Linked DNA regions of Bombyx mori. The protein of the gene in region 1 interacts with the protein of each later gene in a biochemical or structural test. Links are inferred from orthologs where the notes say so. Each region holds a gene or a part of one and is shown in the gene's direction. Other genes may lie near its edges.

Region 1 (4,221 bases):
TATAATTTTTTTCTTTATAAATGTAAATCATTCAGTCATGTTCCTTTTAGACCTTATTTCGGTGTACTAACGGTAGGAATACGTCTATTTAAAATTCTATTCCACAAACTTATTTTTGTTCATGTTACCTTGATAAACTAATAATACGAGTAAAGTGCGCAACACGTTTGTCACCAACAGTTTTAAACTGCTATTGCAAAAAAAATGTTATTGTCTTTTTTAAGTGAAAGCTTCTTTATCATCGTTGTGATTCGAAAGTCGATGAACAGAAAAAGCGATAGTAGAAAGAGACAGACACTTAAATTTTTAAGATTTAACGTGGGAGAAAATGAAGTAGCATTAGTGTTTCTTAAATTCGTGGTTCTCTTTGTGCTCTGCTTCGTACCTAATATTCGTACTTAATACATATTGAATAAATCTATGTAATTTAAACGAATAAAGTGTAAAATAAATATCAAACTTTGTATCACTATGAACATTACTATTTTAAAACATACATAATTATCCTCTCCCTGAAATTTTACATTAACTTGAAGCCAAAATTTTTGAAGATTTCACTTCTACCACGTGTGAGTTACACGCATAATATATGTTTTTAAAGCTAAATGAGTATATGTATGGAGTTTTAGAAGGGCCTTCAAATTTGATCCACAAAAAAATTTGCACTCTTTTAACTTGCACTAGTTTAAGTTTTCGTTATTTTGTGTTCAACTTAAAAACTTCTTTTTATTCGCCGAAAATTCTAAGCTTTATAATTTTAGAAGAAGAGCTACTTTATTTGATCCCAAATCTAACAAATTTTGCATATAAAAATTTCCATTCCGGGACGGCTAGGCTGGCAGATGTAAAGCATTGATATAATTTTGTATGGGTATAGATGCAAGGATATTATAAGACAGAAAATCCATGTGGAATAATGAAAAAGAAAACATTAATATTAAGAAACTGTTGCTTGCACATGACGACTCGTCATAGAGATGTTTCACAGTAAAACCACAAACTTCTCTTTTCGCGTTCCTGTCAGAATAATTATGTTACTAAAACTGATGGCTTACTTTTGTGTTTTATCAGACCAAACAAAAAAAAACAGATCTAAAAGTATTGACTCTAAGTTCTCTCCTATAATCAAGCATGCTTCGTAAATCGTAATTTCTAGCCCGGATTTCTCGCCGGATCTTCTCAGTGGATCGCGTTTCCGATCCGGTGGTAGATTCTGCGAAGCACGGCTCTTGCTAGGGTTCACGTTAGAAACATCGTCAAGTTTGAGCCCCGTGAGCTCACCTACCTACTGGCTCGGATACGCTAATTCTCTCTAGATCATCAGCTTAGGTAGGAAAAAAAAGTAATTTCTAATATTGTCTATGAAATCAATTTTTTTATGGAAAAAAATTGAATTGTCTATTGATCCGTCGTTTGCCCCACCGAGATCTGTGGAGGAAAGTGAAATCATTTAATAAAAAAATTTAGTTTTTAAGGTTTTCATTGAAAAATTCAATAAAATAGCTACAATTAAATGCAATAGATATTCTGTAAGCTCAGAAAATATTCTTAAGAACCTAGTATTCTTAGACCTTACTCGGGTGCTACGGGAATGTTCAGCTGCAGATAGTTTACTTTTGATCCAAGATTCGCAAGGCTTAATTAATCAAAACAATTCGGAGGCTCGCTGTCTCTACATTGCAGAGACTTTGAGACTAATCGGTCCGTCAGCGTCAAACAGTGAGTGTAGTTTAGTGGGCGTTGCAATGTATCAGTGAAAGGCCAGCGGCCGAAGGCGACCCGCTGAGGGTGTCATGCTGGAGACGCGGTCGGCGCGCGCCGCAGATTCGGTGTGGGCTAGTAAGCCGCTGCCAGCACCTAACGCCATGGCCAATACGAGGCACGGGAAGAACGCTCAGGTGTGTACTCAGACTGATAGGTGATCAAGAATATACATGAGCAAGTTTAATACAATAGATTATACGCTTTTTATCATTATCACTATATACAGAGCTACTGCTCAAGTATCTTCTGATGGTTTAGTATTCAGATCAGTTTTGAAACCACCCAGTGGTTATGAGAAGTTTTCAAGAGTTATAAACCCCATTTGGATTTATATTGGATTTATTTTAAATCTACTAAAAACAACCACAATGAACAAATCAATGTATACTTTAGTAAATATATATCAGTAAATAAACATTGATAATGATAAGATAATGTAGAAATTACAAATATTTTAACACTGAACATACTGAGAGTTATTGTATACCTATTCCTACCACACTCAGGCAACTTTAATTAAAAAAGTATATAAAGTATAGGTTTTAATTAAAAAATCATTTTTAATATTTTAATGATTCTTTTTTTTTCTGTTATTAATCTGCAAATCTGTAAATCGAAATCAGATATGCTTATGCAACAGGTAGAGATTCAGTCTCTTGTCCAAAAACAAAGTAAGTATCCATAAATAAAGATCAATATTTAAAATTAAAATCCAATCCAAGATTAAAAGTTGATCCAATTAAAGTGTAGTGTGCCACTTGAGATTTCATTTGTGACTTTCTTCTAGAAAGTTAAGAGGCAGTTGGTTTGGATGTTGTTAAGTTGTCTTTTGTATTTGGTATAAAAAAAATCATATATAACTGTAGTTATGTATGTAGAGAAGTTTGTGAACTTCTTTATTTTTGCATGAAATTGTTTTTTAGTCTGGTTTTTCTTGGAAAAGAGAAAAAATAACTAGAAGTAAAGAGTTGAAAATATTATGTATATGCATATTCTAAGGACTGTATTATTGTTTGAAAAATGTATTAAGCTATATAAATTTTACAAAAGCTCTAAATGGTTAAATAGACCTATATATGCTTAGTGTTAAAAAGTCAAATTTTAGGAGCCCTTTGACTTAAAATCTGAAGAAATGCTGTATTGTTTTTTTTTGGAAGCAACTCTTTCTTATTTGTTAGTTTATGCAAATTTTCAAGAATATATTTATCACTTGAAAAGACTAGTATCATATCAATCACATCACAAATATTTACTATTTCATTATGCCTGATGAAACTGAAATACCACCACACAAAGAAACTTTATAAAGAGGTAGTTCTTGGTTGCAGCTGTAATAAATTGGGTTAAAATCAATTTGTTAAGACCCATAATCAACTATGCGAACCTTCAAATGGATGCTAGTATATAGTTATATATAGTTAATTTCAGCATTGTGATGTCTATGCAGATGTCCCATCAATGCAATAAAGTAAATAAACTAGATAGCAATTTTTATTATAGAACATTGAAGAATTTATACATGCAATTAAGTAGAATTATTACTTGTGTACTATTGATCCTATAATAGTTTAAAATTTTAAATTTGAATTTATGATACAATATCATAATCTTGTATTAATCAACCAACCTGCCCATAATATTTTGAAGGGCTGTTAGGTTAGGCTGTGCATTCTATAATAAAAACCTTAAAGCTCTCAATGTGGAGTAAAGCCATGGTTTCCAGGTGCCATGTATGGAAAACCTTTTTCGCTTAGAACTCAGCTCAGTCTATCTAAGAATGGGATGACCATAAAAGAAAGGAAAGAACTGCTTACAAAAAACTTCAAGTTAATTGTGTTTGTTCAACTTCATTACTTACTTTAATTGTAATTTGTCTAAAACATTCTACAATCGAGACACCATGAATTTCACCAATCAACAGAAATCTTGAAGAGCTGTTATTCTACCCTTCAAACCAGAATGTGTGATTGCTTCACAGCAGAAATCAGTAGAGTGTTAGTACCCATATGTGTACTCATAATATGGCCTACCAAAATCTGTACAAAGACAGAACACCTAGTATTTGACAGAATTTTTTGTATTCTATGGCTTAGAATTGAAGGATGCATTTGCCTATTTTTTGTACTGTTTTTTTCACTTCTATTATAATATTCAATAAAATTATGTGATACTGGTAACTGCATCGTATTGTGGTGTCCAGAGAGTCAACAGACATATTATAACTCAACAAAGACAATAAACCTTGGAAATGTTGTTAGTGATTTCACAAAATCTGTTAACCAAGAAGTTCAACAGCCTCACATTTGACGATTGATGTTTGTTTTACATTGCTGTACAACAATAACAAATAATAATAATAATAATAAAGATCATTTATTGCCTTTCACATCATAAAATGAAATACAAAAAAAAAGAAAAGCAAAATAAAAAGAGAAAAAGGCAAAAGGAGGTGGCTCA
Region 2 (4,100 bases), on another chromosome or scaffold:
CGTCCTACGTCACGAATTGTGAAATGTCAAAGTTCCTGCTTTTTAAATTTTTTTCAGTTTAGTAGATAAGCAAAAGAGACTTATCCCATACTATTATTATACTGCGCAGTAAAATAAGGGTGAATAAAGTTGAAGCGAAGTTTTTTCGGCAATTGATTTTGAAAGTCCGAATTACCCGGAATTACTTTAACAAAAGTTCCTGTCTAATGTGTCTAAATGTTTAAAAATATTTTTAAATTTAGTTTAAGGTAATGTCTTTTAATTTGGTTAATTCTCCTGTCGTTGCCAACTTTTATTTTAGATAATCATTCACTTCGTTTCTTTTGCGAGTGTTCTCCAAAGAAGTTAATTTTTCTACCCAGGCGGTAAAATTTTATGATCGCCACTTTTAGTAATATAGTTTATTGTAATGTATGCAAGTTTATTATGAAAATACGTGTAATATGGGATAGATTTGTGAAGGTTTTAAATACGCAGCGGTGCCGTCTACATATCTTCAAATAGAATTGAAAATAGCGAGACCAATATTACCCCAAACAAATATTACCAAATTTTCAGTAGATCTTTGTCTGGTGATTGGGTTCATTTTCTCCCACTTGTACAATTAAAGTTGCTGTTGGCAACAATTATTAGGTACACGTTTAAACAGAGAGATATTCTAAAATGTCCAAAAAAGTCAGACCGGAGAGGCTATGATTAAATACTTTCGGAAGAGTTACTACAATCAATTATATTATATAACTTTTAATTAGTATTTTACTTTAATTTCTCTTTGACTACTATTTAACAAATCTAGTCTACTACAAGAGCCTATTTTTAAATATATGAGTCGACTATTATCAAAGGCGGCAATCTGACTTTTGGACAATGATTGGTAAATCAGAAAAACGAATTATTGACTTTGTATTCCATTGGCAGTCACAAAACTCTTCGGAACGACATCTTAGATAAATAACAGGTTAACTATTAACCTTTATTTAATGCAGGTTTTGAACCGTATTCTTTGAAGGAGACGATTATATTCAAATAAATCTGTATTGAAATATCAATAAAAATTTTTTGTCCAAATGCACAGATTGCCACCTTTGATAATAGACGACTCATATGCTGCTATGGTGAAACAGAATCGAAGATTTATTACAGCCTAAAACTTCTAAAATTTTGTGACATGTTGGTAGAAATAGTAGAAATCGATTAACATACCGACAACATTGAAGTAGACAGCGGTGCACTCATTCAGACAGAAGGTCCGACTCTGGTGAAATTGAATCATTTCTGTCGTTTACTCCGTTGGAAGTTCTCGTGTTACCGATTTCATACCTCGACATTGGTCTACACGCTTCTTGCAGAGTATCATCATCGGCTTCTCAATAGAAATAATTTTTCAGTGGAGTTAAAAACCGCGGGCTGAGCGGTATTCACCTTTGTTGAGATTCAGCGTGAGATGAAAAATTAGTTACGATGAATCCGAAGTTGAACAGCATTGAAGCCGAATATCTGGATATCATGCACAGGAATGGGTGGCCCCTGATTTATCAGGTTAGTAGTGGAATGAGATGACGCGCTCCAAGGCGCCACGCATCATAACTTTCAAAAGAAGTTGCAACCGTGTTTACATTTTGCCGTTTATAATGTTCGGGTAATTCGGTTATTATTGTTGACTTTTTTATCAAATCTGGACTGTAATTCTTCAAATAGATTTACGGAATGCGTTTCGCATGAAACTTTTTCCGTATAATCAACTTTTTATTAAAGTTTTCGTAGTTTTTAAAACTGGCAATGCAGGTATAAAACTTGTTTAGAAGTAAAAGAAATTCCGCTTTTGTCGTGCAAACTGTCTTATCATTCAAATATTACTGTAAACCTTTAAATTTACATAAATTTTTTACTGATTAGTAGGTTTCAAATATATTTTTTATGAAATTAATCAATCTTCTTGTTTTTTGGTGTTCATAAAATATATATAAAAAAGGAAACCACAGTTACATTTTTTGTCAGAAGCATTGTTTTATTTATTTAAAAAATGTCAACCAACATTTAACTGAGTACTAACTCAATTACTCTCACGTTTAAAAGGAACTTTCATCTAATCAAATTTAGTATCAGAGCATATTGAATGCTCTTATGTAAAAGCCAAATAAAAAATTAAATACTGGTACTACTAAAATCAGATCTACCTTTGCACAATCCACTTTTATTTTATTTGATGTGGGTATTTTGTTTTTTTTTCGGGTGGACTCAATAATTATGGATATTATGATTGCATATTTATTGTAATTATAAATCGCAAGATATGACTTTAATTTAAATATTTTAAGATTGATTATTTCTAAAATATTATAGAATAAAAATTACCATTTCAGTATACCTGTAAATAAATTGTATCGATTATATAAATTGACTGATAGTGTTAAAGAATAAAATAAGACTACATGCCACTACAATATTAAAAACAGAATAAGTATAATAATAAGTATAATAAAAATATAATTTAAATAAGAAATGGTACATGTGAAATTACAGTTACAATATTTGAAACTGTAAAATATACATTTAATTCATACATATATCTGTATAACAAATTGCATCATGTAATGTAACTGCAGCATATGTATTGTACAGCTTGACAGGCAGATTTGGTAGTAAAGTAATTCTTCTAAATAGGTTGTATTAGAAAATTATAGATTCTGGAATAATTTTGAAAAATTTCAAATATCATTTTTTAATAGATATGAACCTAAATAGCAGGCAACAATATAGCCTATTTGCAGATAATAGCTCAATTTAAGAAAGAAATTTAAGCAAAAAATACTATCGGATCACAATTAAGATAGTCACAGCAGTAAAATGTTATGTAATTTTTTATTTTTAATACCTTTTTGTTTGGTTACTTAGATTTAACTATTCATATTGAACAAATATTCATATACAACAAAAATAACAAATATTCATATTGAATCATATTTTTGTCTAATACTTATTTCTCTTATAAAATTACAACAAAACTATTAACATTACAAATACCCGGAATATTACATTTTAACTTATATTTGTGCAAATGCCAATTAAAGTTGTGAACATAACAAAATAATCTGAAAACATTATTATCTACCTCATAATTTTTAATTTTAGTCAATATTTTCCCTATCTATGTTGTTTCTCCGAAAACGACAACCGCATTTCTACCCGCGATATTATGAGATAATAAGGCGAACTATCGCAATTGTCTCTGCATTCAAAAGCATACGACTGAAGCCACACCCACAATGGATTTCGAGACAAAGAATTTTTAATTGCTAATTTCCGCTTTAAGATAACTAGGCCACCAATCTCGCTATTAGCGCGACCCCAAATAAAAAATTTCCTCCAGACATACTATATATATCATGCAAAAGTGAAATCAACAATAGCTATAATTATGAATACGAGCGCAGTTTTCCTACGTAGTAGTAGTATGTAGTATAGCGTTGAAGTCGTATTCCGAGATGCTAAACTGTTGATATTTTGCAGAGGGTCGGTCAGGAGTGTCAAAAGCTCCCGTACACTTGTGTGGAGGCGAAGAGGCCTCACAACAAGGCGCTGAACCGCTACCGCGACGTGAACCCGTACGACCACAGCCGCATCGTCCTACAGCGTAGCGAGAACGATTACATAAACGCTAATCTCGTTAGGGTAAGTTTTTGTTTATTCGTTTGTTTTTTTTTTACAGCCGAACGTACCTTTTTGATTTTTTTCCTACTTATGCTGATAGCCTTGAGAGGCTAATTCAGCTTAACCTAGCGTATAGGTGAACTTCGAGGCTCAAACCGGAGGTGTTGCTCACACTGGCCTTAGCAAGAGCAGTGCTTCGCAGAATCTACCACCGAATCGGAAACGCGACCCATCGAGAAGATTCGGCGAGAAACTCAGTGGGCTGTGTGTATAGGTTAATTTAATCGCCGAGCCCTTCGTCGCAAGCAATTCTGCATTATACTAATATAGATCTCATAAATATGTTTAGAATCGAAATATTTTACATACTTCACTGCTGTATTTTTGAAAATATTTCGACCTAAAATATTAACGGAAAATACGCCGCTCGACAATTGATGATTATTTAA

What was found. The genes of interacting proteins can lie anywhere in the genome.
Region 2: the proteins of cytoplasmic protein NCK1 (region 1) and Bmptp-Z form a complex in vitro, tested with the Drosophila melanogaster proteins (2 studies listed by BioGRID, with this or other methods). The link is inferred for Bombyx mori from reciprocal best matches to the Drosophila melanogaster genes dock and Ptp61F.

Annotation. Positions count from the first base shown.
Region 1 is NC_085110.1:18,088,768-18,092,988, forward strand, and holds the start of cytoplasmic protein NCK1, read left to right. Parts: upstream 1-1,391; 5' UTR 1,392-1,793; coding exon 1,794-1,898; intron 1,899-4,221. UniProt on the Drosophila melanogaster protein: Adapter protein that links cell surface receptor tyrosine phosphorylation to downstream signaling pathways and effectors, many of which are involved in regulation of the actin cytoskeleton.
Region 2 is NC_085107.1:1,847,039-1,851,138, forward strand, and holds the start of Bmptp-Z (protein tyrosine phosphatase), read left to right. Parts: upstream 1-1,216; 5' UTR 1,217-1,461; coding exon 1,462-1,539; intron 1,540-3,510; coding exon 3,511-3,672; intron 3,673-4,100. UniProt on the Drosophila melanogaster protein: Non-receptor protein tyrosine phosphatase. Required for maintaining dock/dreadlocks in its non-phosphorylated state. Negative regulator of InR/insulin-like receptor signaling through dephosphorylation of tyrosines when recruited by dock/dreadlocks.